Linked DNA regions of Ovis aries. The protein of the gene in region 5 purifies or fractionates together with the protein of the main gene of each other region. This does not show direct contact. Links are inferred from orthologs where the notes say so. Each region holds a gene or a part of one and is shown on either strand. Other genes may lie near its edges.

Region 1 (3,999 bases), on a different chromosome or scaffold from region 5:
ATTCCATGGACAGAGGAGGCTGACAGGCTATGGTGTATGGGTCTCAAAGGGTGGGACACTTTCATATTTTCAGTCTCACTTGCTAATTATCTCTCAGAATGGTCTCCTTCCATCACTAAGTTATGATGCTAGTCCAAACACTGTCATCTCTCCCAGGATTCCTCTGACAGTAATGGATCTCTGCTTCCGCCAAACTGATCACTCCCACACATCTGCGTCTGTCTCACCTCCTTGTAAAATCTTTCCATAGCCCCCCATTGCCTGTGAAAAGAACACCTTCCTAGGGCTTCCTTGGCAGTCTGTTGGTTAAGACTCCATGCTTCCAATGTAGGCGACTTGGGTTCAATCCTTCACCTGGGAACTAAGGTCCTCCATGCCAGTGTGCCAAGAAGATTAAAAAAAAAAAAAAAAAAAAAGCACACCCTCCTTAACCTGGTTTCAGGATACAAGACCTGCGCTTATCCTACTCCTTCAGCTTCCTCCACCACTGTACCGGGCTTTTCACCTCCCTCAATTTATGCTTCTACTTCGGGCCAGAACACTTACATCTAGTAACAAGGTGTCTGGACTTTCTAGTTGTGCTGTTCTATCTTCATGACTCACTTTCCCAGTGTGTAAAATAGGGATAATAATGCCTACATCAAAGTTTGCTGTATTGAATTTCTTAACATATGCAAAGCACTTCCAAGAGTGCCAACCTGCCAGTAAGTCCTATGTAGATAATAACTCTCATTTTCACACACGTGGTCAGTGTTGAGGGATGCGATGAAAATTTCTGTGGGGGAGGAGAAAGATACTAAATTACCGTAAGCAAATATTATATAAAAAAGACAATACAAATACAAAGTAAAAGTAGAAAACAAAAAGAACATAGAACCTCAGTGATCCTTATTCAAAACAAATCCCTAGAAGCTTAAGAATCCATGACAATGAGTGGGAAGGGGAGATGATCCTCCATACGGCAGGAGGCGCTGCAGCACTCCTCAGGTTGAGGGGCTAACCCAGGAATGCTAGGATGCGCTACGAAGGTCACGTGCCCCTCATTTACCGCCCCAGCGTTCACGCCTCGTCTCTCCACGTGACTCGCATTCTCGGGGATTATTGGTCTGCGTGAGGCACGTGGGCAGGGCAGACCGCGGGGGGGCGGGGCGGGGCGGAGGGGTGGGGCCGGGGGCGGAGCTGGAGGGGGGTGGTTCGGCGCGGGGGCCGTTGGCTCCAGACAAATAAACATGGAGTCCATCTTCCACGAAAAAGTGAGTGTCCACGTTCGGTGGGGAGCTGTCCACGGCGCGGTGGCGGGCGTGGGGTGCGGAAACGCCGCCTCCCGGGGAGCTGGGTGGGGCCCGAGAGGCCCCCATCCAGATCTCGCCGGGCGGGAGGAGCTTCCCCGGGAAGGGAGCTTCACCGCTGTCCCCATTGCACCCCAAGGCCCGTGCCGGAGGATCCGGAGGAGACCCGGTCCGGGGATGTTTAGGAAGCCGGGACGGGATAAGGGCCGGGCCGGGGGCGCCTCCGGGCACGAGAGAGGAGATGGCTTCTGCGCTTCCCCTCCACTTTCCGTGAAATTTCTTCTCCTGTCCCCCTCTCTCCGTCTCCCCACATCCTAGCTAGTCACCTCTCGGACATCTTCCTCTATCCTTCCCAGTTCCACCCCACTCTGCCAGTCCTAGTCCTTGGAAGAATTAACTTTTCCTTCTCTGGGCTTCTTCGTTCTATATTGGAATCTCCCATACCCTTAGATCCTTGTCCTGCACTGAGTCCGTAAGCCTCTCGAGGCAGGGACCTTGGCTCGCCCCATGGAGGGCGTGACACTTCAGCGAAGTGAAGTAGGGAACCCGGTGCGCCTCTGCACTGGGAAGTCGTCACAAGAGTTTCTGTTACGAGGAGTTTGGGTTTCGTTTCTTTCGGTAGTGGCATCTTTCCGGATCAGGAGGCTAGCTTTCTTGTTAGGTATTAAGGATGGGCAGGAATAATGTTGTTGTTGTCTGCCTAGCCCATTGTGCTTTGATTCTTCCATGACTATGCACTTGAAGATTAATGTTTGTGGCATGTGGATAAACTCGTCTTTTTTCGCATACAATTACCATTTCATTTGAGTGTGAATGAAACCTTCCTCAGGTCGGCTTAAACACATATCTTATTTCATAATAGTTTCATGTTTGGAATGAGTTGCTGCTGAGGCTGTTATTTAGTAGGAGCAAAGGGGTTGTGTTTTGTTAAATACTTATATATCCATTTTAAAATGCACACACACAGCAATCAAAGCAATCAGAGACGAAGTGCAGTATAAATTCAAACAAATTGTTATGGAATGCTTTTCTTTATAGAAAACATTTCAGATTTTTTTTTTTTTTTTTTTTTTTGGTGGATGAGGAAGGACTCAGTGTTTGGTTATCACTAATCTTTTCAGTTGGCTGACATATATGAATCCTGGACAAGAGAAATTTAGTTGCTTGGCTAAGGAGATTGGATGAAAAGAACATTGAGTGGACATATTTTTATGACTAATTTCAGAAGCTTTGGTGTAGGACCAGATGTTTCACATTGAAAACTTTAAATTTTTCCACATCACTTTTTGAGGACCATGCAATGTTTTTTTTTTTAAAAAAAAACAATATTCATTGGTACCTAGTTTAGATAGATTGCAGTGGGATCTTAATCATGGGATCAGAAGAAGTTGGACACTAGCCTAATGAAAATCCACTTAACTTAGAGCAGTCACTCTGAATTATCAGCCTCAATATAGATTTAAAGACTTTTCAAGAACACATTTACCCTCATCACCTTGCATGTACTTAGCAAATGAAGACTCAAGTTCTACAGGGATGTTTCAGAGGTAAAGAAAGCACCTATAACCACGGACCTGTTGCCCATCTTCTACAGAGGCCATTTTGGGGATGTTTGAATCAATATGACATTTTCCGGAGCACTCCCTTCTCCTGCTCCTCATGTATTTAACTCCAGGTCCTGGATTTGGAGAGCCAGAGAACCAACTGTAGCCGATAGGAATCTGCGTGTAGGGATGTCTGCCTGCAGAGAATTTTGCAGCCACTTCCTCTTGGAGTTCTGATTTCCCCATTTTCAGAGTTGTCACTTTAATAAGTGACCCTTTAATAAGTTGAAGTGCCCTTTAATAAGTTGAAATGTAAACTCAAGAGTTGTTTATTGATATATCCCCAGTATCTGGCACATAGTAGGTGTTCAGTAAATATCTGAATGAATCAAGAGTGTTCCTTGAGCATCTAAGATGATATGGTGCTGTTTATATAAACAGGTTTTCTGTAAATATTTTAGACTTTGCAAGTCATTTATATTCTCACATATTCGTGTGTGTGTGTGTGTGTGTGTGTGTGTGTGTGTGTGTGTATCTGTATGCTTTCCCAAGCATCTAAAAATGTGAAAATCATTCTTAGCTACTGGGGCAGAGTGAATATGGCCCACGGGCTAGAGTTTGCCAGTCCCTAACTTAAACCCTTAACGCTACATGGCCACCTAGTACTGGTTTTTTTTTTTTGTTGTTTCAATTTTTTTTTTTTTTTTTTTGGTTCTGGTACCTGCTTTCTGTCATTATCACTTCTATTGCTGACTGCTCTTGGTGAGGTTATTATTTTGCCACCTGAATTGATACTTTTATGCATTTACAACTGAGAATGATAACCAAACTTGTTGGGATTATATTTAAGATTAGTGAAAATACTGGAAAGATGCTGAGTGTTGACCTTGACATTCATGATGTTTTTGTTGTGTGTGTGTGAGAGAGAGACTGCTCTTTCCTATCCATCTTCAGGCTATTTGAGGTTTAAGATTCACCAAGTTCCAAATAAGTGGCTTAAGGAAGTGTTAATAGTACAAACTCTGCCTGGGTTTGAATCCTACCTCTGCTGTTTGCAGTATCTGGTCACTGTATTAGGTAGCTCTTGAAGTGAAATAGCCTATCTTAATAGAGACTTTTTGTTGTTATTTGAATTTTTTATTAAGGATAACACGTGTAGGGGCACC
Region 2 (4,122 bases), on a different chromosome or scaffold from region 5:
TTAGGCAATGAATAAAAATTTTAGGTCTGAAAGGAATCCAGTATCATTTTGGTACATCTAGTGGAAGGCGAGGGAATTGTTTCAGTCCACTGTGAGAATTTGGTGAAGAAAATTGTGATTTAATAAACCATTTATCAACCTCTTGGTGGCACAATGGGCCTACTAAAATTTGGTGGGCTGCTTGCTATTTCTTCAGCAAAGAACAATCAGTAAAGCACTTGATGGGCACTTGGGGACAAGAGAGGCAACGATGTGAAGGGCCACGTGCATGTGACATTCATAGAAAATACTATTTGGTGATGATGAAGTACGCAAAGGACAGTTATGCTGAAAGAAAAAACCTAGGGTAGGGGAAGATCAAGGGTGGTTGGCATGGAAGCTTACCCAGCAAAAACACGCGATGTTAAGCCAATTACAGGGATTATATAGTGTCTTAATTTTTAGGAAGGATTCCTTGTTGAAGAGGCCACATTCAACCTGGGGAGACACCGAGGTAAATTTGAAAAAGACTTGACCACGAACTATTTAGGTACCTTTTCTACATCTGAGAAAATTACGAGCCGCACCTTCTCAACATTCTGGTCCCCAAACCAGGCATTTAAAATGGATTAGAGAGGTCTGGGGCCTACAGTTGGCCTCCACTGAGGTCTTTTCGCTCTCTTTTTCCACCCCACCCTTTCCCGAAGAAAAACACAGCTGGGTGTGCCCTCTCTTTTAGGAGCGCAGCCCCCATCTGAGGGGGCGGGTCCGGATCCCGGCGGGCTCAGGCCCCGCAGGTTGGCGGGACCCGGCGGGGGCGGGCCAGCGTGGGTCTGAAAGAAGCGGAGAGAATGTTGGCCGGCGCGCGCCGCGCTCAAACTCGCGCCACCACTAGCTCACGAGCTGCGCCCCACTCCCTCCGTCACCAAAGGCGCCCAGCCAATGAGCGGGCCGGAAAGGCCGGGCCTGCGGGCTAAGCAATGGGAGGGGGAGCGACGGGAGGGGGCGGGAAGTCGAGGGCGGGCCACACTTGATTGACAGCTCTCTGGAACCAATCCTCTGCACGGCTTCTCTTCGCTCTCCTCTCTGCTCGGCTCAACTCTTCGTCCCACCTCTTTCTCCTCCACCCCGCTCCTCGTTCCTTTGCGACCCGCCCCACTTCCCCTCCCCCACTCTGCGGGCAAATCGCTGCTGGAAAGAGGCGGGGGCCTAAGCAGCGGGCTTGTGTGGCGCCTTGAAGTGGGATTGACAGGCGGCCTGACCAATAGAAGGTACGCTGATGGCGCGGCTGTGGCTGGAACCGGCCAATGGGCGAGCGGGCTGGGGGCGGAGGCCCAGGTTCCAAACGCTCCGCGGCGCCATGGGCTGAAAACTCAACCGAGATGGAATCTCCCAGTCTGAACCGGTTTCAACCGGTTCCGAGTTTGAGGCACTAGGAGGAGGGGGAGAAGCGGCTGCAGCGGCCGCGGCAGGAGCAGCGGGAGCTACAGCATCAGCAAGAGCAACAGTAGCTACAGCCCGGGCGGCGGTGCCTGTTCCAGTCTTTGCTGCTGCAGTCCGTGCAACCACCCAGAGGGGGAGGGGGGAACCACCAGTCGCTGAGGAGCAGGAGAAGGGGGGAAAGTTTAGGCGAGCCTGGGTGGGGGGGGCCAGCGCCGGAGCCGCGTGAGAGAGGGAGCCGTATTTTGGTAGGGGGAAATCGGACTGCAACTGGCAGCAGAGCGTCCCCCGGCCGTGTGGACTCTACAGCCCCTACTCCTGCCGCTCCTGCTGCCGCCTGTGGCTGGAGGGTCCCCCTGGGGCTGAATCTTTGGGACTTGACCCCGTTCCCCTCCCCCTTCTCTCACTCCCCAGCCAGGCGGGAGCATTTATCCACAGATTAATTCCCTTTTTTAGGGGGGGGGCGGGTGAGTGTGCGTGTCGGCGGGAGGTGTCCCCGAAATAGTAAATATTGTTGAGCTTTTTTTTTTTTTTTTGCCCTTATCCTCTTCGTTTGTAAATTTCTTTTTTAAGGTGGGAAAACTGTGAAACCCACCTTGATTTTCCTCCCCTCTCCCCCCTCCCCGTCCTCCCTTGCCCTAATACCCCAACAAGGAAGGAAGAAGCAGTTGGTTCAATCTCTGGGTAAGTCGACTGTGTCTTCGGGGCCGAGGGTCGGGCGGCGGCGCGGCTGGGCGGGAGGAGGCTGGCGTGGGGCGCGGCGGCGGCGGCCGCGGGAGGCGAACCGGGGAGGCGGCGGGGGGCCCACAGCAGAGCTTGCGATTGAATGGAGCCGCTTCTGCTGCTGCTGGGGGATGGAGGCGGGGAGGCGGCCGCGGAAGGGGAGCGCTGGCTGGGTCACTCGTGTGTACGGGGAACGGTGGCGGAAGGCAAGGAGCGAAATAGTGAAGTCGGGCCCTGCGCGGGGGTGGAAGGGCCTCTCTCAGCCCGGTGGGCTGGGGAGAACTTGGGGAGATTTTAGGAACATTTCTGTAAATTATTAGGAGTGGAAGTTTCCAGAAATATTTAGTGCAGCAGCATTGAAACGTCCGCCTGCATCACGTGGCCCTTCGGTGGAGAGCTTGGGATCGCGGGAGGGAGGGGCTGTGGAGTCCTTGCTCCTCCTGCAGGTAAACTCAGAATCTCTTGATTTTTTAAGAGTAGAAATAGAAGCAGGAAAGGTTAGTTGCTTTTTCAGGGATCTGCAGATGAGGTTCCGTGCTATAGTTTGTTTCGGGGGACTTGGGTGAGTTAAAAGTGATCAACTCATTTACTGCTGGCATTGTACAGTAGGTGATACCCTGATTCTCCTTTATTCCGATGCCTGAGTTTGGGGTGGGCGGGAGGAAATGGTGTGCTGGAGGAAGTATTAAAAGATTTGCCCGACGCGGACCTCCTCTGATCACGCAGAGGCCATGCTGCATAGAGAATGGGGCGGTGAACTTCAGGCGCCTGGTCTAAATGCCTCCTCCCGAGTATGGGCGGGGTGAGAGCGTGCTCCAGTCTGCTATAGTTAGAAGTGCTGCACTTCGCTTCGGGTGGGAAGAGAGGGGGAGGGCGGGCCTTAGTGAGGTGTGTTTCTACTGAATGAAGCAGGCAGTTGCTCACACACCTAAAGTAGCAGTTTCTCCTTGCAGAGACTTGCTTTTTTGGCCTACTATGTAGTTATCATAAAGCAGCGGTTATGATTTTCTGGTTTTGGGATGGGAACCCGCAGTGTGTAGCTGCCTGCCTCTTCAGTTTGAAGTGGCAGTGGAGGTATTTTGGTCGTCACTTGTGGAGTCACCACATGGGTGGTTAATACTTTATATTTACTATACTGTGAGTGGAATTTAGGATTGGATGTCTCAAGAAGAAAAGGCTTTTGTGGTCTCTCTTGCCTCTCCCTCTATGGTTTTTTGCTATCTGCCTGATTGTACATCTTAAGCGTGTGGGACACTGCTGTTAGTGGAAAGAATGTTTTGGAAGCTATTTGATTTGGGAGACTAAATGTGCTTGGCATTGACCAGAAAGCCGCCATTTCTGTACTACAGTTAAAGAATAGGTAGGTCATTTCGAAGATAGTAGCTAGTTTTAAGGGTGGCATGCCCTGCTGTATTTAACACAAGCTTCTATTCTGAACCTGATCTTTTCACAGGAATTTGTTTCGAAGGAATTTGTAAGGACAGTGTACTTGAAAACTGTTTGAGTCACTTTTTTTTTTGGTTTTGGCTATTAATTTTTAAGATCTTATTTTTAAAATTGTATGGCACTCGAATGGGGGGAATTTACATTTGACATTTGTGCAGTATATATATTTTTATTAGTATTTAGATCAAATATTGTGTGTTCAATATTTTGTATTTGAAATACATTTAATAACTACTGTAGAAAATTTTGAAATCTCACCACTGTCAATAGTGGATGGAAAGACAAGTCTTAAATTCATAATTCCTCAACTTTTACATTATATCTAACCTAACTGATCCTTCAGACTTTGTTGTAGTTGATATCATTAAAACATGAGTTAAAAATTGAAATTGCTGCCGTTAAGAACGTTTTTAAACTGTTGTAAAATACCTAAGAAATAAGCCTTTTTCCTAACAAGCTAGTTTGTTCAGATCCAGTGTAATCCGGTTAGCCACCCTATTTCCTGGTCTTGGAAGGTTAAAAAGAGGGGGAGAA
Region 3 (3,500 bases), on a different chromosome or scaffold from region 5:
GCTTGCATTCTCCTTCCTGAACATTTCTCTGGGGTATTCATGAACCTGGGGACAGCTCGAATGCCTTTTCTTTAGCTTCTCTTCTTTCTCACCCCAGACTGAGAAATTTTAAAAACATAATTACTCTTTTTTGAATGGGAGAACCCCAGGCAGATCCTTGCTGTAGGTTTAAATCTGTAGTCCTTTTTAACTTTTTATTTTATATTGGAGTATAACCGATTAACAGTGTGGTAGTTTCTAAATCTGTAGCCTTGGAATTAGCTCTTTGTCCTCCCTGAACACCCACATCCCACGTTTTGGTCTTAGTTCAGGTTTACGGTATTCATATCTCCCAGTCCACCTAAAAGGAATGCCAACTGGAAAGAAAGGAACTCATATCTTTTGAGCATCTATTGTGTGCTGAGCACTGAGCTGAATGCTCTAGAAATATTATTTCAGTAGCCCAGAGAGCTGGGAATTATAATGTCTGTGTAATAAGAAGAAGTGAAATCTGGAAGTGAAGTAGTTTCTCAATTTCACATACCTCTAGGAGATAATGGATTCTAGAACTTGGCACCATGCCCACACTGTCATCTTGGTTTAGAAGAAAGAAGCTGTGATGTGGCCCCAGGGATAGAGATTTGAATCCATATGTATTGTTCTAAAGTGGGTGGAGCAAGTGAGAGCCTTTCCACACACCTTTTATCCCTAATCACAGACCTGATCCCTGTGTTGGATAGATCATTTCCTCTTACTGGGGCTGGTAGTGACCATATGAACCTTTGGTTTGCAGTTGTGACCCCTGATTCCAGCAGAATGGCCCAATGGAATCAGCTCCAGCAGCTGGACACACGGTACTTGGAGCAGCTCCATCAGCTGTACAGTGACAGCTTCCCCATGGAGCTGCGGCAGTTTCTGGCCCCTTGGATCGAGAGTCAAGATTGGTAAGTCCTTCTCAAGAAACTCCCCAAATTGCTAGGCTTTAGTTTGAGTCAAGAGACATGATCTGCTCTAACTTAACTCTTTGCTAACTATTTCATCTTAAAGCTTATAGTTGCAGGTGACGGGACAAAAGAGATTGGAAAGTAAAGAGGTCATTTTAGTCCTGAAAAGCATTTTTACATTAGAAAGGCATCTGGAAAGCTGTCTTTTGGCACGCTGAAACATCCTGCTTGATGGTTCAGTTCAGTTGCTCAGTCATGTCCAACTCTTTGTGACCCCATGGACTATACCACCCCAGGCCTCCCTGTCCATCACCAACTCCCGGAGTTTACTCAAACTCATGTCTACTGAGTCGGTGATGCCATCCAACCATCTCATCCTCTGTTGTCCCCTTCTCCTCCTGCCTTCAATCTTTCCCAGCATCAGGGTCTTTTCAAATGAGTCAGTTCTTCGCAAGATTTGAAATTGAAAGTAAAACCTGTTACTGGTTCAGTCGTGTCTGACTTTGTGACCACATGGGCTGTAGCCTGCCAGGCTCCTCTGTCCATGGAATTCTCCAGGCAAGAATACTGGAGTGGGTTGCCATTCCCTTCTCCAGGGGATCTTCCCGACCCAGGGGTTGAACTCAAGCCTCCCGCGTTCCAGGCAGATTCTCTACCATCTGAGCCACCAGGGAAGCCCATTTTAATTTCATTTGCTTGATGAGATTCTCTGCATGTTCTGATGCTTCAGGGACATGCTACAGATAATTTCTTTTTAATCTGAATGAGAATTTTGTCATGGGTAAAAAAAGGTTTGGGTTTGTACTTCTGATTCCTCTTTCATTAAAGAAAAGAGATACAGAGTTAGAGAAACAGACTCAGTCATAGAGGAGATAGGGGTTCCCTGGTGGCTTAGATGGTAAAGAAATCGCCTGCAATGCAGGAGACCCGGGTTCATATCCCTGGGTCAGGAAGATCACCTGGAGAGGGAAATGGCAACCCACTTTAGTATTCTCGCCTGGAGAATTCCATGGACAGAGGAGCCTGGCAGGCTACAGTCCGTGGGATCGCAAGAGTTGGACACAACTGAAAGACTAACACTTGGTCATAGAGGAGATAATGGTACAGAATCCCAGCAACTCTTTCCTTCACTTTAATGTATTCAGATCCACCTTTTAATTTTGGTTTAATTCAGGCCCATGACCTAGCTTTTCCAGAATTTGATGAGGGGCCAGGGAGGTAATTCAGAGATGTTGGAAATAGGCCATCCTAACCTGGGATTGGTTATTTGCTACTGAAAATCTGACCATAGAGTTGACTGAGAATTTAAAGGAAAACAGCATATCTGACCATTCAAAATTTGATAAATATAGAACTATGACAGTCGCTTAATAGTATCCAAAATAATTGCTGGTAATTTTAAAATCAGTGACTTTTATGATTGCTGAGTAAGATGTATCTAAAATGGTGAGTGGGTTAAAGCTTCAGGTTTGCCTTGTTTTTCCCTCCTTGATGGTGATTTCGAGTGCATGCCTGTGCGTGTGAGCGTGTGTATGTGTGTAGGTTTCAGAATCATTCTTTGTCTTTATCTTCCTTTTTCTAGGGCATATGCGGCCAGCAAAGAATCACATGCGACTTTGGTGTTTCATAATCTCTTGGGAGAAATTGACCAACAGTATAGCCGCTTCCTGCAAGAGTCCAATGTTCTCTATCAGCACAATTTGCGAAGAATCAAGCAGTTCCTTCAGGTGTGAGGAGAAACTGAACCTGCAGAGAAGGGTTTTAGCTTTCTTTCCTGAAAATGTTTGTTTCTCACTTGGTTAATTAATAACCTATCTTGTACTTTAAATCCAAGGAGAAGTTACCAGCCCTTTCAGTATTATTGCTTGAAGTTTACTTGGTTGGTTCATTGAAATAATAATGTGATTTTTATGTTAATTATATTATGTTAGTATGCGAATGACATGATTGTAACAAGTTCAGATGACTAGGAAAATGGCTCTTACTTTTCAGTGTCAAAGGCTTGGACACCGTAGTTGGATACTCCTTGACAAAGTCACCCCCCTGTAAGACCAGGATAACTCACTGTCCAAAGTCTGTCTGTCCAAAGACAGACAACCAAGCCTACTCTCACTACAGTACTGCTCATCGTGATTGCCTTTCTTCTCCGTCACTTCTCCTACTGACTGTAGCCAGGCTCTGATGCTCTGTGGTTCCATGTAGTAAATGTAACACTTTCCCTAGTTTATGAGGAAGTTAGCTTTAAGTTAGCAAAGTTCGGTCCACATCTCCTGAGCTGCTGCTGATTTTCATTCTCTTTGTCTCCCCACTTACAGAGCAGATACCTTGAGAAGCCAATGGAGATTGCCCGAATTGTGGCCCGTTGCCTGTGGGAAGAGTCCCGCCTCCTCCAAACTGCAGCCACTGCAGCCCAGGTGAGGCCTGGGAAGAAGCAAGCGCTGTTAATATGTGCTTCCTTCACGTGTACGAAGATGTCCTTGCCTTTTGACCTCCATAATCGTGGGTGTTTGGGGGTTGTGTACAGTAAAAATAACTTTCTCAGCATATAAAATGCATTCTCCTTTTTAAGGAAGACTT
Region 4 (4,184 bases), on a different chromosome or scaffold from region 5:
CTTAATTTGGGGCAGGTAGAGTAAAAACTTTAAAAAAATGTTAAGACTGGGTAAGATGTCCTTTTATTTTAAAAATAAGCACCAAAGAGACTGAATCTTTTCAGTCTCTGAAACTATATTCTTTTATATTCTTATAAGTTTGCGATTAATATTGGGGACTCGCGTATAGCCACGAATATATATAGGTTTTGTTTAAAATCATCAGATCAATACACCTATTTCTTTAACTTGTAATTGTTCTGATTGTTGCCAGACCCCCGCCAACCGCCTCAGGCTCTCGAATGCAGCCCCCGGGCAAATTCTAAAGGTGAAGAGAGGTCCACACCCCCAACAAAGCCAATTAGGAAGTTTCCGGTGGTCTTCTCCCAGGCGGGGAGGCGACCAATATTTCCAGCGATTTAGCTTAATTTTTAATTAAAAAAACGAGACAGGACAGAGACCACTGTTTTGCAGCCTTCCTTTCAGAGTGTTTTTCTAGCTGTTAAATTGCCGGCACAGGGCGGGGGCGGGGGGGAAGTGTTGGGGGCCCCCCGCAAGAATGGACTAGCTAAGGTAGGAAGACAGTGCGCAGATCCCCCAGGCGAAGAGGACAGGGCGAAGGAAATGCTGGCCACCATCTTGGGCTGCTGCTGGAATTTTCGGGCATTTATTTTATTTTATTTTTTGAGCGAGCGCGTGTTAGGCTGAAAGCCCTTTAACTTTGGGGGTTACCCCTCCGGCATTTGCACAGACCCCCCTCGGTGCGGGAATGAAACCTCCACCGGGGTTGTCGGCTCTGCCCTGAGTCCCTGAATGGTAAATGGTTCCTGAAATTTACACGTGTTAATGAAAATGAAAGAAGACGTAGACGCTAAGATCCCTTGGCTGCCTCCGCCCGTGGGTGCCCTCGTGGCGTTCTCGGAAATGCGCCCATTCTCCCGGCTCAGAGTGTCACCGAACCCCAGCGTCCCCCTCCACACGGTCTCCCCCAGCTGCGTGTGGCCTGCCCGCCCTCCTAGTTGTCCCCCTCTGCAGAGCCACCGTCACCCAACCCCCCAAATCCTGCGGGACCCGCTCGGGGAGGACAGACCCCCCCCCCAACCCCCGCTCCTGCACCCCTCTTCCTCGGCGGGGAGAAAGGCAGCCTTAGGACGGTTTGCATTTCTATGAAAACCCGGCTTCGGGGGCAACACCGCGCGGTGCAGGCGCGGCGCCTCCGGGATGGCTTTTGGGCTCTGCCCCTCGCCGCTCCCCGACGCTCGGCGCCCGCGCCCCCTCCCCCTGCGCCCGGCCCCCCTCCTTCCCGCTCCCATTCTCTGCCCGGCTTTGATCTCTGCTTAACAACAGTAACGTCACACGGACTACAGGGGAGTTTTGTTGGAAGTTGCAAAGTCCTAGAGCCTCCAGAGGGCTGTCGGCGCAGTAGCAGCGAGCAGCAGCGTCCGCGCGCTCCGGCGAGGGGCAGACGAGCTCGAGGGAGCGCGGGGCAGCAGGAGCCCGAGTCGAGAGCCGACCCAGCCCCGGACCCATCGCCGCCCCCCGGCCACCTAGCCGAGCCCCCAACCATGGCACACCAGCTCCTGTGCTGCGAGATGGAAACCATTCGCCGGGCGTACCCCGATGCCAACCTCCTCAACGACCGAGTGCTGCGGGCCATGCTCAAGGCGGAGGAGACCTGCGCGCCCTCGGTGTCCTACTTCAAGTGTGTGCAGAAGGAGATCCTGCCGTCCATGCGGAAGATCGTGGCCACCTGGATGCTGGAGGTGCGGGGCTCCGGGCGGCTCTCTTAGCACTTTCCTGCGACTTGTTGCGCAAACCCACTTTTCTTTGCCACTCATCACCCTCCCTTCTCTCCCACCCAAACTTTGAAGTTTGCCAGAGTGTTGCTAGGAATCGTAGTTCCAAAATATATAGATATTCAGGGTATTTTTTTGAACAAGGAGGGAGTGGGGGTGGGGTCATTAGATAATTCCTTTCGTGGGTGGGTGGGGGCGGCGGCGGTCGAGGAGGGGTACCCTAGGGGAAAGCCACTGCCCGGGCACCCCAGTTGGCTTCAGGGTGCGGGCCCGCAGGCTGGGCGTCCTTTGTGGCCCCCGCCGGGACCTCCACCGCGCAGCCCCGCTGCGCCTCCTCTTGCGGCCGCGCGGCTGCTGAGCCGCCAGCTCCAGGGGGAGGGGGCATAGATTTGATTTTTAAATTAATATCCATGGACACGTATGCAAGGGCCGCTCGTGCCAGTATTATGCGCCATCTTTGTTCTTTTATTGCAAAGCAAAAGTGTTTATTAATAATTGGGGGCAGGGTGGGGGCGGGGAGCGGCCGGCCAGGCGCTTGGGGCCGCCGCGAGGGGCCGCGCCGCCACCGGGACCCAGCGGGAGGGGCGCGGGGACAGAGCTCGGGTAGTTGTGGGGGGACCCCTCTCGGGAAAGGGGGCCCCTTTGTTCAAGCAGTGGGTCCCGGGGCGTCCCGCAAGGCCAGCTTGGGCCAGAGAGCACGCCGGGCTGCAAGGTCGCGTGGCCCCCAAGACGCTAGGAATGGACCCTCATCTGCCGGGATCTCAGCTTGGGGGACCTGTCTGGAGCGAGCTGGGGGCCAGGGGCACGTTTTCAGGCCTTCAGAGGGCTCCCCGGGGCACCGCAAGTATTTTAAAATAATTTTTGAAAGTGCGGCGTGGTGCCCTTGCGAGAAGGAAACGGCGCCCGCGCCCAGGGGGAAGGGGGGCCCCCGAGTTTGAATTCCTGGGGCTCTCCCCTGAGCCCGCAACGAGCTCCCGACTCCCGGCCTGGGTAAAGGACAGTCTGAGGGTCATTTTCAGGGCATTTTTATGTACCCACTTAATTTTTTTATATTTTTAAATATTTTTTGAAAAGATGACGTCTGGGGAAATGCGGCGCGGCGGCCTGGGACGCCACCTTTGTGTCTCGCAGGCGCTGCGAGCGCGGCGCCCAGCCCCGCGGCCCTCCCCGCGGCCCTGCGCCCCATTTTTTGCCGACCCCAGGTCTGGCGGCTCCCGAAGCACCCACGCGGGCCGGGGTCCCTGGGACCCACAGCCCGCGCGCGACACACGCCGCCCAGCTGTGCCCGCTCCCGCCCCCACTGTGCCAGCCTAGCTGGGACTTTCCCTTTCAGTTTCGGGGTGGGTGAGTATTGGGGACTCCCGGGGAAGAGGGGCGCGGCGGCGGCGGCTTCTGCTGCCCCTTGCCCCGACCCTCCGCGCGCTCAGAGACCTCGCAGTCCAGCCGCCCTGGCGCGAGCCGGGTCGGGGGGCGCGAGGTCTCCGCAGAGGGGCCGGGCGCTCCCGGCGGCGGCGGCGGCGGCGGCGGTCACGGCCCCCGGTGCCCCCCGGCAGGTCTGCGAGGAGCAGAAGTGCGAGGAGGAGGTCTTCCCGCTGGCCATGAACTACCTGGACCGCTTCCTGTCGCTGGAGCCCGTGAAAAAGAGCCGCCTGCAGCTGCTGGGGGCCACCTGCATGTTCGTGGCCTCGAAGATGAAGGAGACCATCCCCCTGACGGCCGAGAAGCTGTGCGTCTACACTGACAACTCCATCCGGCCCGACGAGCTGCTGGTAACCCTGGGACCCCCGCCACGGCCCCTGAACGCCCAGTTAGCCGCGGGACCCCGGGGTGGGGGAGGCGCGGGGGTCCCCGGCGGGCCGCCGAGAGACCCTCGCCCCCAAGGAAGGCGGCCGCACGGGCGGGGCCCCGCGCCGCCCCGCAGCCGCGCCGCCGCCCCCCTCGCTTTCCCTCTGACTCCCACCACCTCTGCGCCCCCAGCGTTGCGAAAAGTGGGGGGCGCGCGCCCTCCAGCGGCGGCGGCGGGGCGGCGCCCGCGCGGTTGACCCGGCTCCGCGTTCCAGGTGTGGGCGGGCCCCTGGTCTCCGCCGGCCCAGGGTGGGCTGAGTTTAGGGTAGGACCCTTGGCGAGCAGCACCGTCCCTGCACGGAATGTGGGGTCGCGCGCTCTCCCCCTCACTTCCCGGACCCTCCAGCGACCCCCATCCCCTCTCTCCGACCCCTGCTCCACTGGGGTCCGCGCCTGCGCCTCTCGACACGCGTTTCCCCCGGGTCCGCAGCACATGGAGCTGGTCCTGGTGAACAAACTCAAGTGGAACCTGGCGGCCATGACCCCGCACGACTTCATCGAGCACTTCCTCTCCAAAATGCCGGTGGCCGAGGAGAACAAGCAGATCATCCGCAAACACGCGCA
Region 5 (3,500 bases):
CGCCCTTGAATTTATTTATTTATTTTTGCCATGCCTTGGCTTGAAGGATCTTAGTTCCCTGACCAGGGATTGAACCCAGGCCCCCAGCAGTGAAAACATGGAGTCCTAACCATTAGATTGCCAGGGAATTCCTTGAATTTATCTTTTGAAGAAATGAGGCTGTTGATCCTATAGTTTCCTACAACAGCTACAGTTTCTTGAGTAATTTACTCTGCTGTGCTGAGGATTACTGGTATATCCACTTAATTCTTACACCAACCCTGAGATGTAATAGTCCTTTTCATGATGGTAAGCATTAAGTACATACATTGAAATTTGAGGAGATTTTGATAACTTAGCCTGAACAGTGGCAGTGGCAGGATTCAGGTCCAGAGGCTAGGTTTTTAAACACTACACCAATTGGTTTCCCTGAAGAGCCTTCCAATAGAAGCAGCCTCGGCTGGAGGATTGAGGTCGACTCCTTAGGTTGGCATTGAGCACCTTCCCAACCTTATCCCCACATCTCTGCTGCACAGGGTGTCTTCTCAGAATACCCTTTGTTCTCCAGTCAGCCTCTCCAGGGCCTTCTCAGCCTTCAAGCCACCACAAAGCTTCATGCCATGAAGGCTTTCTTGACCACACCAGCCCCAGAGGTCTGTCCCGCACACACTGCCCTGCTTGTTGGGTTGTTCAGGCACATGCTGTCTTGGGAGCTTTCTTGTTTTTTGTGTTATTGCTCCTGCTAGTTTTGAGTTCGCTTTATAGGTCTGGGAATGTAAAGTCCACCCTCAGGCCACAGCCTTGGGCCCTGTGAATGCTCTTGGTGCAATTAGCACTACTGTCACTGCGCTTCTCTACTTCCCATCCAGTGCCTTGAACAAGTTTCAGTATGTGGTTTCGTCCACAATATTTGTTGAATAAATTTGCAGATAACTTGGGTATGTATGTAGGAGGGGCAGACGGGGTTACTGAAGAAAGGAGACTACGGGGCTCTGGGCTGGGGAGAAAGGTGAAGGAAGGAAGTGGACAGAGGAAAAAGGGCTCCAACTTGCTCTTCTTCTTGCAGCCCCGTGTTTCCCGGGCTGTTTGAATTCTGCTCCCGTTACACAGGCGCATCTCTGCAAGGAGCAACCCAGCTGAACAACAAGGTAGCTGTACCCCAAGTCCTGTTTCCCCCTTCCTGTGGGTCCCTGAATCCAAGGCCTTAACCATGATCCTGAGCTCCCAGCTTTGGGGGTGGGCAGGAAAAGGACTATGAGTTGGGCGTTTGTCTTTCAGATCTGTGATATTGCCATTAACTGGGCTGGTGGTCTGCACCACGCCAAGAAGTTTGAGGTGAGTGAGGAGGTAATGGGGGAGACAGCAGCTCTGCTAGGGTAGGAGGTCAGGATGGCAGTCAGGGGGCGGCTGGGTGGAGGAATTGTTCCTCTTTGTAATACCACTATACTATCTTACCATAGGCTTCTGGCTTCTGCTATGTTAATGACATTGTGATTGGCATCCTGGAGCTGCTCAAGTAAGTAGCCCGGGAGGAGATGGGGCCACTTGCGAGGCTCTTGGCTGAGGTCTGAGACTGCCCTGGCCCTGACCCTGACCCTGACCTCCAGCCCCACACTAGCTTCTCCCAAGTTCTTGATGCTTTTCTCAGGCTGCCTCTTCCTGTGCTCTGCTGCAGATTCCCCGCTGCCTGCTCACATTTCAGCCTTCTCTGCACATCCCTCTCCTGTCCCTGCCTCCAGGCTGGAGCCCCAGGGTTGCCCTTAGGGAACTGGTGGTATTAGGTTTCAGGTGACTTGGGCCAAAGTAGACTCTTCATAATTTCTGGCCTTGTGTTTGGGAGGAGTGGGTTGGGGGCTTTTCCTCCTGGGGTTCACCTCTGCCTCAGACGCTGGCTTTGCCTTCACCCCAGGTACCACCCTCGGGTGCTCTACATTGATATTGACATCCACCATGGCGACGGGGTTCAGGAAGCCTTCTACCTCACTGACCGAGTCATGACAGTATCTTTCCACAAATACGGAAACTACTTCTTCCCTGGCACAGGTATGGAAATAGGAATGCCTGTCCCCTTCATACTCCTCAGCTCTTACCATGACTGCCTCCTCCGCAAGCTCAGGTCTCAATTCAGGTGGCCCCTCCTTGGAGAAACCTTCCCTGATCACCCTGTTACCCTGTCACATCACTCTGCTTTTTTCTTTTCAAGCACTGGTTGCTGTTTGAATTTATTGTGGGGTTTTGTTTTGTTTACTGTCTCCCACCTAATCATGCCTACCTCCCAAGAATATGAGCTTGGTGGGATTTCATTTATTTCGTTAGTTCTTTTTCCTGCTGTATCCCCATACCTAGTTCACAGCTTGGCTCATAGTAGGCCCTCCAGGAGTATCTGTTGAATGAATGCAAGCTGCAAGAGACTTAGTGGTTTGAGGGAGTGTGTGGCGGACATACACAGATGGAGTGAGAGGCCCTCAGAGTACATGGTGGGGTTGAAGCAGCTGGCGCCCCCAACCCCTCTCCCCCACAGGTGACATGTATGAAGTTGGAGCAGAGAGTGGCCGCTACTACTGCCTCAACGTACCCCTGCGGGACGGCATTGATGACCAGAGTACGTACTAAAGTCTTCTCCCTGCTCACTAGGCTCCTTCTCTCTCTCCCTCCTTGAGTTAACCTCTTCTGCCTGGTATTGTCTACCGTTGGGCCAGGTGTCCTTCAGGATGAATGGCCTTCAGAGGGACCATGAACTCCCTGGAAATTGTATGCAACATATTGTGTGTATGTGCATTTTTCTGGGAAAAAGGTCATTAGCTTCCATCAGTCCCTCCAGAAGTCTCATGAACTTCCCCACCTAGAAGTTTGGAACCAATAGTGGTCCCTTTGGGTTGCCCCTTTCCTGGGCTACACGCTCTCTGAACCCCCTTTTTCCTTTTGTTCCCTGTCTCCCCATCCCCTTGGGGTGCCAGGTGCCCATCTTTGGCCCTCTCCCAGGTTACAAGCACCTTTTCCAGCCAGTTATCAACCAGGTGGTGGACTTCTACCAACCCACGTGCATTGTGCTCCAGGTAATACTGTCCGTGCTTCCTTAGGCACTCAGGCTTACGGGAAGAGAGCAGGAAAGAGGAGAATCCCTAGGCTGGTGGGGGAAGGGAAGTGAAGGACATCGGTGACATTCTGAGTAGTTCTCTCACTGTAGCCACCTGGGGTTTTGATTTTTGCAGTGTGGAGCTGACTCTCTGGGCTGTGATCGATTGGGCTGCTTCAACCTCAGCATTCGAGGACACGGGTGAGAACTGCTCTCCTTCCACTCTTCCAGGTTTTCAAGTGGCCTTGGGCTTCAATACATGGAACGGGTAGCTGGGAAACAGCCCTCACCTCCTTTTGGGACTGAAAAGTAGCTGCATGTTGTACTTTGAACCAGAAATGTCATCTTGAGCAGTGTTCCCCAGTTGGCAACATTCACATTAGGTTTTTGTTAAGCACCTGTTGTGTTCCAGGCATTGTACTAGGAGATGGGGAAGCAGTCAGGG
Region 6 (3,500 bases), on a different chromosome or scaffold from region 5:
GGCCGTTTCCGGGGAGCTGGAGGTGGGTGCGGGGCGCAAACGACCTGGGCCCCGCGGGGGAACCCCGCCCGGAGGCTTTCCAGTTTCTTTCCAGTCGCTTGTTCTTGGGGCGGGGGGGGGGGGGGCGGCTTCTGAACTACGGAACTCCTTCGCTGGCCACTAAGCTCAACTCCACCTGAGCGAGGCGCGCCGCGTCAAGACGCAGCGTAAAACACCAAGAAAACAAACCCAGAAAGAAAACTCAACACAAAAAGCAGGTCGTGGAGACCGACCACCGTCTGGTCTCAGTAAAGGAATCAGCGCCACTTCGCCGCGGCTGCCAACCGGCGCCGAGCGGCTCCCCGGGCTGGGCCCTCGGCCCTTCCCGGCCCCCTCGCGGCGAGTCCCATCCATGCCGGGAAAGTGGAGGCCTTGGGGCCCCCCGGCCCCCAGGTCTCGGGAGCCTAGCGGCGGCCGCTTCATCTATCTCCATGGCTCGCGGATGCTTCTCTCCGACAGACTCTGATCCCGGACCATTTGCGGCTCAGCGCGCGGCCCCAGTCCCTCCAGGCCGACCGGCCTTCTGCTCCACCTCCTGGGTCTCCGAACCACGGCCGCCCCTGGCGCGGCCGCTCACGGCAGCCCCCCGGGGCGGGCGGGCTGACTGACTGCCGGCCGCGCAAGCCCACGAGTGTGCAAAGCCGCCGCCGTCCGCACCGGAATGGCGGTCTCGAGCGAATGTAGGAGCGTGTGGGTGCGGGTATGTGGATGCGGGGAGCGCGGCGTGGCCTCCGCACTGGCTGGCGGTGGACTCTCCACCCTGGCCGCGTACAGTAGCGCGCGGCGGCGGCGGGGGCGCGCGGGCCAATTCCAGGAGCCCGCGGCACCGAGCCGCGCCCTGCCTGATACCGGAAAGGCCTGTGATTGGCCGGCAGCCGCCCCTATGCAAACGAGCTGAGGGAATGGAATTCCTCGGGCCGGGCTTACAGTAAAAGCACGTTCATTTCCAGGCACTCTCATTCATAGAGCCAGCGGGCGCAGGCGGGACGAGCGCCCCGCGGCCGGACCCAGCCAGGGCACCACGCTGCCCGGCCCTGAGCCGGCAGGCATCTCTTGCTGGGGATACTGGGGACGCCAGAAGAAAGTCAGTCTTTGCTGTTTTTCATAGAACCGCGTTGGAACTTCGATTTTGAATTGTGTGTGGGGGAGGATTTTGTTGTTGTTTTTGCCTTTTCCTACTTTTGAATGAACTGGTTTCTTGGCTGGATGGTTCCATTTCTTTCCTGGGTGTGAACTTTTCTCCGGTTGTGTCCTTTGACAACAGCGGGAGAGAGTGCGCCGGGCTTCGTGGCGAGTGGTGAAGTGGCGCGTGTGCGTGGCAGAGTGTGCGTGCTTGTGTAACTCGAGCCGCCCCGTCTGTTGCGATCTGCGCTGCGGAGCCTTTCTCGCCAGGGCCCGCTCCACCTGCTGCGGTTCCGCGGTGTGTGGGTAAATTGGCGCGTCCGGGCAGTTCACCCGGCCGGCGCTGGGGCGACGTTGGAGGAAGCTCGTCTCGCTACTGCCCAAGTCGGGGCTGACTCACCGGAGTCGATGTAGACGGCGGCTGGCTCCCGAAGAGTGCGTGCCTGCGTGCGTCTGACTCCGCTGCAGCTCACCTCCCACCAAACCACAGGATCAGCCACAAACTTAACCAACATCCCCAAACCCGAGTTCTCAAATGTGGAGAGCTGAACCCTGAATATCATCGACTTGGATTTTTTTTTTTTAAGATCAGCTTTTTCTTTGATAAAGCTTGAATTTTCTGAACTGAGCATTTTGCCAGAATTTATTGAAAACATGACAAGTCCTTCTAGCCCAGCCCTTCAACTACTGAAGCTGATTCTCAAGGCTACTTAGAGAAGAAAAAAAAAAAACAAAAACGTGCAGCGAACATTAATGGGTTTCTGTTGTGTTTAATTTCTCTACAGATTGTATTGTAAATATTTTATGAAGTAGAGCATATGTATATGTTTATATATATGTGCACATACATTAGAAGCAGGACCTTTTGGAAGTCTCAGCTCTCGCTTTTGAGGACCGAAGCCAGTTTTGCATGAATAAAAAGTGGCGCCGTATTTGAAGACACTCGTATATTTTCTGTTGTTTGGACTTTAAACAAAACTCACCTGGGGGGAAAAAAAAGAAGAACTGACAGGCAATTAACTACTGGAACGTCCAAATCCTATATTTGCTGGTCCTTCTGCTCTCCGCATAAATAGTTTAGGAAGTGTATGGGAATTTTTGCCTCCGGGTACTTCTGTAACAGCCAAAGACTGAACCTTCAAACTCTCAAAGCAAAACTCAGAAGATAGGGTCCCTTGGCCCTTGACTTTGGATTCTGGTCGCCCACTTTTCAAAGCACTAAGCGGTCGGTGCCCGGGTCTGAGCTGAGGCCGATTGTCAGAACTAGAACTTTTTCAGCCTTCCTGGACTGTTCGTAACTTAGTCTCCCCCTCTCCCCCAGCCACCTTGCAGCAATAAAGGTCCCTGAACTTGTATGTTGGTCTCCCGGGAGCTGCTTGCTGAAGATCCGCGCCCCTGTCGCCGTTTGTTAGGAGCTGTTTGCAGGGTCCTAACTCAATCGGCTTGTTGTGATGCGTATCCCTGTAGATGCCAGCACGAGCCGCCGCTTCACGCCGCCTTCCACCGCGCTGAGCCCGGGCAAGATGAGCGAGGCGCTGCCGCTGGGCGCCCCGGACGCCGGCGCCGCCCTAGCCGGCAAGCTGAGGAGCGGCGACCGCAGCATGGTGGAGGTGCTGGCCGACCACCCGGGCGAGCTGGTGCGCACCGACAGCCCCAACTTCCTCTGCTCCGTGCTGCCCACGCACTGGCGCTGCAACAAGACCCTGCCCATCGCTTTCAAGGTAACTCGGGCCGGAGCGGGTGGCGGGAGGACAGGCAGAGGCCGGTCGATCGCCGGGGCGATCGGGGAGGGCCGTGGCCAGGCAGGCGGGGCCGGGTTCTAGAAAGGGGCCGGCGCGGAGGCCCGTGGTCCATCCCTCTGCGCTGCGCACACGGGGGATGCTGCGTTGCCGTGGCTACCCTCGGTTGGGCTGGGGGCGGGGGGGCGATGGTGGAGGGGTCCCGCTTCAGTAGGCCGCCGCGGCCTCCGGGGGATGGTTGAAAAAATTCAGGGTGCCCCCCCCCACAAAGAAGTCCACGGAGGGCCGGCGGGACCTCCTCCCCGGGCATCGGTCCTTCGCTTTGATCCAAAGTAGGAAAAGTTATAACCCGGCCGGAACCCAGCCCTTCTGAGGAAGGCATCAGGAAATAAAATCGAGATACTCTGATATACCTTTGGATCCAGGAAAAGAAACTTGACAAGGAAAACTCTCATGGCTTTTCCCCACGTCCACCCCCTGTTTAACTGCACTGTAGAAATTAGCAAGTTCAAAGTCCACGGCGGACTCTGTTAAATTTGCAAAAGTTTTCTGAGGGGTGTTTTTGGTGGTTGTTTTGTTTTGAGCTTCTAGCCTATTCCT
Region 7 (3,069 bases), on a different chromosome or scaffold from region 5:
GGCGGCTTCGGATTTAAGATTTCCTTGGTCCTCCCAGGGCAGGGTATTAAAGGACAGACCTTTACCTGGCACCTCCCTTCCCAACCACTTAAGAGATGAAACCCAAACCTCTTAGCCGAGCCTCTTCATCTTTTAGACTGGCCCATAGAATCTTTCCAACATTGTCTCCTATCCCGCTTACCTATAAATGCAGGCTAGCCCCTCTGCTGATGTATAGACCTGAAGCTAAGCTAGCGTGGCCTTTGTGAAGCCCTTCCTGAAAATGTTCCATCCCCACGACTCCTGGGTCCAACCGGGCTCTCGCTAGGCTGACTTCCCCTCGCCCCCTATAGCCGCCTGCTTTCATTCACTGGCTGGTAGCGAGTGTCCAGGGATGTCCGTGGACTGCAAGCTCCCCAGTGGCAATGTATTCCTCCAGCAAATGTGTGCCTCCAACTCTGTATCACCAACATCCAGCCTGAAATGACCAGCAAAGAGTGTGCTCAAAAAAGACAAATCTCTAGCCAGCATTGTAACAAATTTATTAGTTCAGAGTAGAAAAAGCAATAGTCTATAAATGCTTTGATTCTTCAGTAAAAACTGAGCCTTTTGACTGGAGAGCAGCCAGCCTGCTCTCCCCGACTCTGAACAGCTCGTCCTACCATTAAGGCACTTGAGAAAAGGAGGAACAGAGCAGTCTCAAAGAGAACCTCCCTGGATCTTGGAGAAGGCCAATACTGTCCCGCCAGTCCCCTTCAACCACAGCCCAGCAAGGGAAGAGCTGGCAGAGACCTCCACGGGTGGGGAAAGCCAGGCCCTCAAAGGCTGGTAGATAGGCACAAAGAATGCCGCACCAGAGAGGGGCGCATAACAGGGGCATTATTTTGCCTCAAGGTATAAATGAATCTATGATTTGAGGAAGACACTTGTAATAAGGCTTTGTGGCCTCCAAGGCCATAGCTCCAGCCTGCCCATCTCTCTAGGAGAGTACTACAAGCTGGAGGGTGGGGTTGGAGGACCCCAGAATTTTCTGTAGAGCCTGGAGCTGAACATCAGGATAAGGGATAGAAGAGTCTGAGTCTTCCCAGCTCTCCCCTTTCCAGAGAAGTTAATGCTTCTGCTTAAGCACCTCCAAAAAGAGAGAGATACTGCCAATAAAAGAATAAAATGCACCCCCCCTCCCCAGGAAGACATCACCCAAAGAAGCTGGGGGCAACTGGAGCACACCCTCCCAGAATCCGTAAGTGCGTGCTTTGGGAGGGCTTCAATCCCTTGCTAACCCACTGCTCTGGGCAGGGCGGGTATCACCCCTTTAGGAGCTGATCTGACTCAGAAAGGCTGAGAAGTCCACGTCCGCGATGGAGGAGAAGTCTTCATCCCCCGAGAGGAGGCCATTGGTGAGCCCAGGGGGCCCCAGGGGAGTGGGAGCTGGGTCAGGGGGCCTCTGGGACCCTGTCACCAAGCGAGTTATAGCCTCAGGGTACTCCATCAGCATGGGCTCAGCTGTGTGGGGGCCCATGGATACACCCTGGTTCAACAACTGCTGAAACTCAGAGTTGTCGACAGATGCCAGGTCTGTGAACACAGCAGGGTCAGTGTTGTTGCCAAGCAGAGCCCCCAGGTCTTCATCGGCATCAAACTGCAGCTGCAGCAGGGCCTCTGTCAGTGTCCCTTCCCCGGTCTGGTTGGTCTTGGGGGCAGGCGGGGTCACAGCCTGAGCCAGGCCTGGGGCTAGGGCCTGGGCCAGGGTTGATGCCATGCCTGGGGCTGGAGCTGGGGCTGGGGCTGGGACCGGGGCCAGGACTGGGGTCTGGGTCAGGACCGGGGTGGGGGCTGGTGCCAAGGCCGAGGTTTGGCTTGGGATCTGCCCAGAAGGAAAGACCATGGGGGAAAACTCCTCAAAGTTGATGGTGCTGAGAGATGGCGTAAAGGAATAGGGCTGGGGAGCTGGAGAAGAGAAACAGAGAGGCAGGGGTCAGAGAAAGCCTCGGAGGCACCCCCTCCCCCCAGCTTCTGCACCCCAGCTGCTGCCTCGAGTGCTGAGGCTCACCCCTTCCCTGTGGCATCACCGCTGGCACCCTACTCCCTCCTCTTACCCAATCTGGCCTCCCCTGTAGGGCCCAGTTCCAGGCTCCCCTCCGTGGAGCCCTGCCTGTCTACCCCGGCCCACAAAGCTCTCACAGCCTTTAGAGGAAAGGATGCTTTCAGAGCGGGCACAACCTTGTGCCCGAGCAGCCGGCAGGGAGCAGCGCCTCTTCCTCCTTCTCTGAGACACACAGCAGCACAAACATTACAGGTTACTGTTTTGCTACTGTTTTGCCCCACTTCAATGGAGAACTAAGAGCAGAGACTGCATTTTTGAAACTTCTGCATCTCAAGGCATCCAATGTGGGTTTAACTGACACCACATGGGTTCTCATCCCCAGGGGGGTGCTGGTTCCTGGGACACACTTCCAAAGCCTCTGATTCCCCATGTCTGTAAGGGGCCCGGGAATCGGCATCTTCACTGCTTCCCAGCTGGCTCTGATTTTAGGCCACGAAGGCTCAGGCCCTGAGAAACAGGAGCCCAACAGCGAGCAGGTTTCAGACACCTGCTGGTGAGACTGCTCGACTCTCTCCAAGAGGTTTGGAAACCATGGATCGAACAGATTTGAGCCTACAGTTCCAGTGTGACGACCTTAAGGAAATCCTCACCTGGCTTGGGGATGGAGGCTGAGCCGCGGTTAGGCACAGCGATGCGCCGGGTTGGAGGCCGGGGGTCGGTGGGTCCTGTGGGGTGAAGGCTGGGTCAGTTCTTGGTGTCTAGGGTCCCCTCCCTGCCCACTGCTCTCTGATTCTCCCGCCGCCCCCTCTTACCATTGAAAGGGCTCTTTTTCATGATGCTCTTAAAGGTCTCGTATGTCCTTTTGCGCTTCTCCTCAATCCGGTGACGATCATCTGGGAAAGTAATGGAGGGAAGTGGGTCCTGCTTGTACCAGTGGACCCCCAAAGTTCCCAAAGGACTCTCAGGAGGTAGGCGAGAAGACAAACCTTTTTCTAAGAACCTTTCTCTAAACCTCACCCAGTGAGAACAGCTGCACGACTCTGTGA

Evidence for each region.
Region 1: the proteins of HDAC3 (region 5) and ATXN3 purify together in Homo sapiens (affinity purification with western blotting; 3 studies listed by BioGRID). This does not show direct contact. The link is inferred for Ovis aries from reciprocal best matches to the Homo sapiens genes HDAC3 and ATXN3.
Region 2: the proteins of HDAC3 (region 5) and XPO1 purify together in Homo sapiens (affinity purification with western blotting; 3 studies listed by BioGRID, with this or other methods). This does not show direct contact. The link is inferred for Ovis aries from reciprocal best matches to the Homo sapiens genes HDAC3 and XPO1.
Region 3: the proteins of HDAC3 (region 5) and STAT3 purify together in Homo sapiens (affinity purification with western blotting; 4 studies listed by BioGRID). This does not show direct contact. The link is inferred for Ovis aries from reciprocal best matches to the Homo sapiens genes HDAC3 and STAT3.
Region 4: the proteins of HDAC3 (region 5) and CCND1 purify together in Homo sapiens (affinity purification with western blotting; 5 studies listed by BioGRID and IntAct, with this or other methods). This does not show direct contact. The link is inferred for Ovis aries from reciprocal best matches to the Homo sapiens genes HDAC3 and CCND1.
Region 6: the proteins of HDAC3 (region 5) and RUNX1 purify together in Homo sapiens (affinity purification with western blotting; 3 studies listed by BioGRID). This does not show direct contact. The link is inferred for Ovis aries from reciprocal best matches to the Homo sapiens genes HDAC3 and RUNX1.
Region 7: the proteins of HDAC3 (region 5) and RELA purify together in Homo sapiens (affinity purification with western blotting; 3 studies listed by BioGRID and IntAct, with this or other methods). This does not show direct contact. The link is inferred for Ovis aries from reciprocal best matches to the Homo sapiens genes HDAC3 and RELA.

Annotation. Positions count from the first base shown.
Region 1 is NC_056071.1:54,598,870-54,602,868, reverse strand, and holds the start of ATXN3 (ataxin-3), read left to right. Parts: upstream 1-1,199; 5' UTR 1,200-1,229; coding exon 1,230-1,253; intron 1,254-3,999. UniProt on the Homo sapiens protein: Deubiquitinating enzyme involved in protein homeostasis maintenance, transcription, cytoskeleton regulation, myogenesis and degradation of misfolded chaperone substrates.
Region 2 is NC_056056.1:46,574,116-46,578,237, forward strand, and holds the start of XPO1 (exportin-1), read left to right. Parts: upstream 1-1,322; 5' UTR 1,323-2,103; intron 2,104-2,530; exon of another isoform or gene 2,531-2,588; intron 2,589-2,982; exon of another isoform or gene 2,983-3,502; intron 3,503-4,122. UniProt on the Homo sapiens protein: Mediates the nuclear export of cellular proteins (cargos) bearing a leucine-rich nuclear export signal (NES) and of RNAs.
Region 3 is NC_056064.1:42,178,038-42,181,537, reverse strand, and holds part of STAT3 (signal transducer and activator of transcription 3), read left to right. Parts: intron 1-772; coding exon 773-923; intron 924-2,505; coding exon 2,506-2,650; intron 2,651-3,238; coding exon 3,239-3,337; intron 3,338-3,500. UniProt on the Homo sapiens protein: Signal transducer and transcription activator that mediates cellular responses to interleukins, KITLG/SCF, LEP and other growth factors. Once activated, recruits coactivators, such as NCOA1 or MED1, to the promoter region of the target gene.
Region 4 is NC_056074.1:43,280,741-43,284,924, forward strand, and holds the start of CCND1 (G1/S-specific cyclin-D1), read left to right. Parts: upstream 1-1,384; 5' UTR 1,385-1,544; coding exon 1,545-1,742; intron 1,743-3,328; coding exon 3,329-3,544; intron 3,545-4,050; coding exon 4,051-4,184. UniProt on the Homo sapiens protein: Regulatory component of the cyclin D1-CDK4 (DC) complex that phosphorylates and inhibits members of the retinoblastoma (RB) protein family including RB1 and regulates the cell-cycle during G(1)/S transition.
Region 5 is NC_056058.1:50,380,170-50,383,669, reverse strand, and holds part of HDAC3 (histone deacetylase 3), read left to right. Parts: intron 1-1,045; coding exon 1,046-1,127; intron 1,128-1,257; coding exon 1,258-1,314; intron 1,315-1,439; coding exon 1,440-1,495; intron 1,496-1,888; coding exon 1,889-2,022; intron 2,023-2,500; coding exon 2,501-2,581; intron 2,582-2,961; coding exon 2,962-3,035; intron 3,036-3,191; coding exon 3,192-3,256; intron 3,257-3,500. UniProt on the Homo sapiens protein: Histone deacetylase that catalyzes the deacetylation of lysine residues on the N-terminal part of the core histones (H2A, H2B, H3 and H4), and some other non-histone substrates.
Region 6 is NC_056054.1:267,702,961-267,706,460, reverse strand, and holds part of RUNX1 (runt-related transcription factor 1), read left to right. Parts: intron 1-2,628; coding exon 2,629-2,882; intron 2,883-3,500.
Region 7 is NC_056074.1:40,273,169-40,276,237, forward strand, and holds the end of RELA (transcription factor p65), read right to left. Parts: intron 2,917-3,069; coding exon 2,836-2,916; intron 2,749-2,835; coding exon 2,674-2,748; intron 1,927-2,673; coding exon 1,292-1,926; 3' UTR 501-1,291; downstream 1-500. UniProt on the Homo sapiens protein: NF-kappa-B is a pleiotropic transcription factor present in almost all cell types and is the endpoint of a series of signal transduction events that are initiated by a vast array of stimuli related to many biological processes such as inflammation, immunity, differentiation, cell growth, tumorigenesis and apoptosis.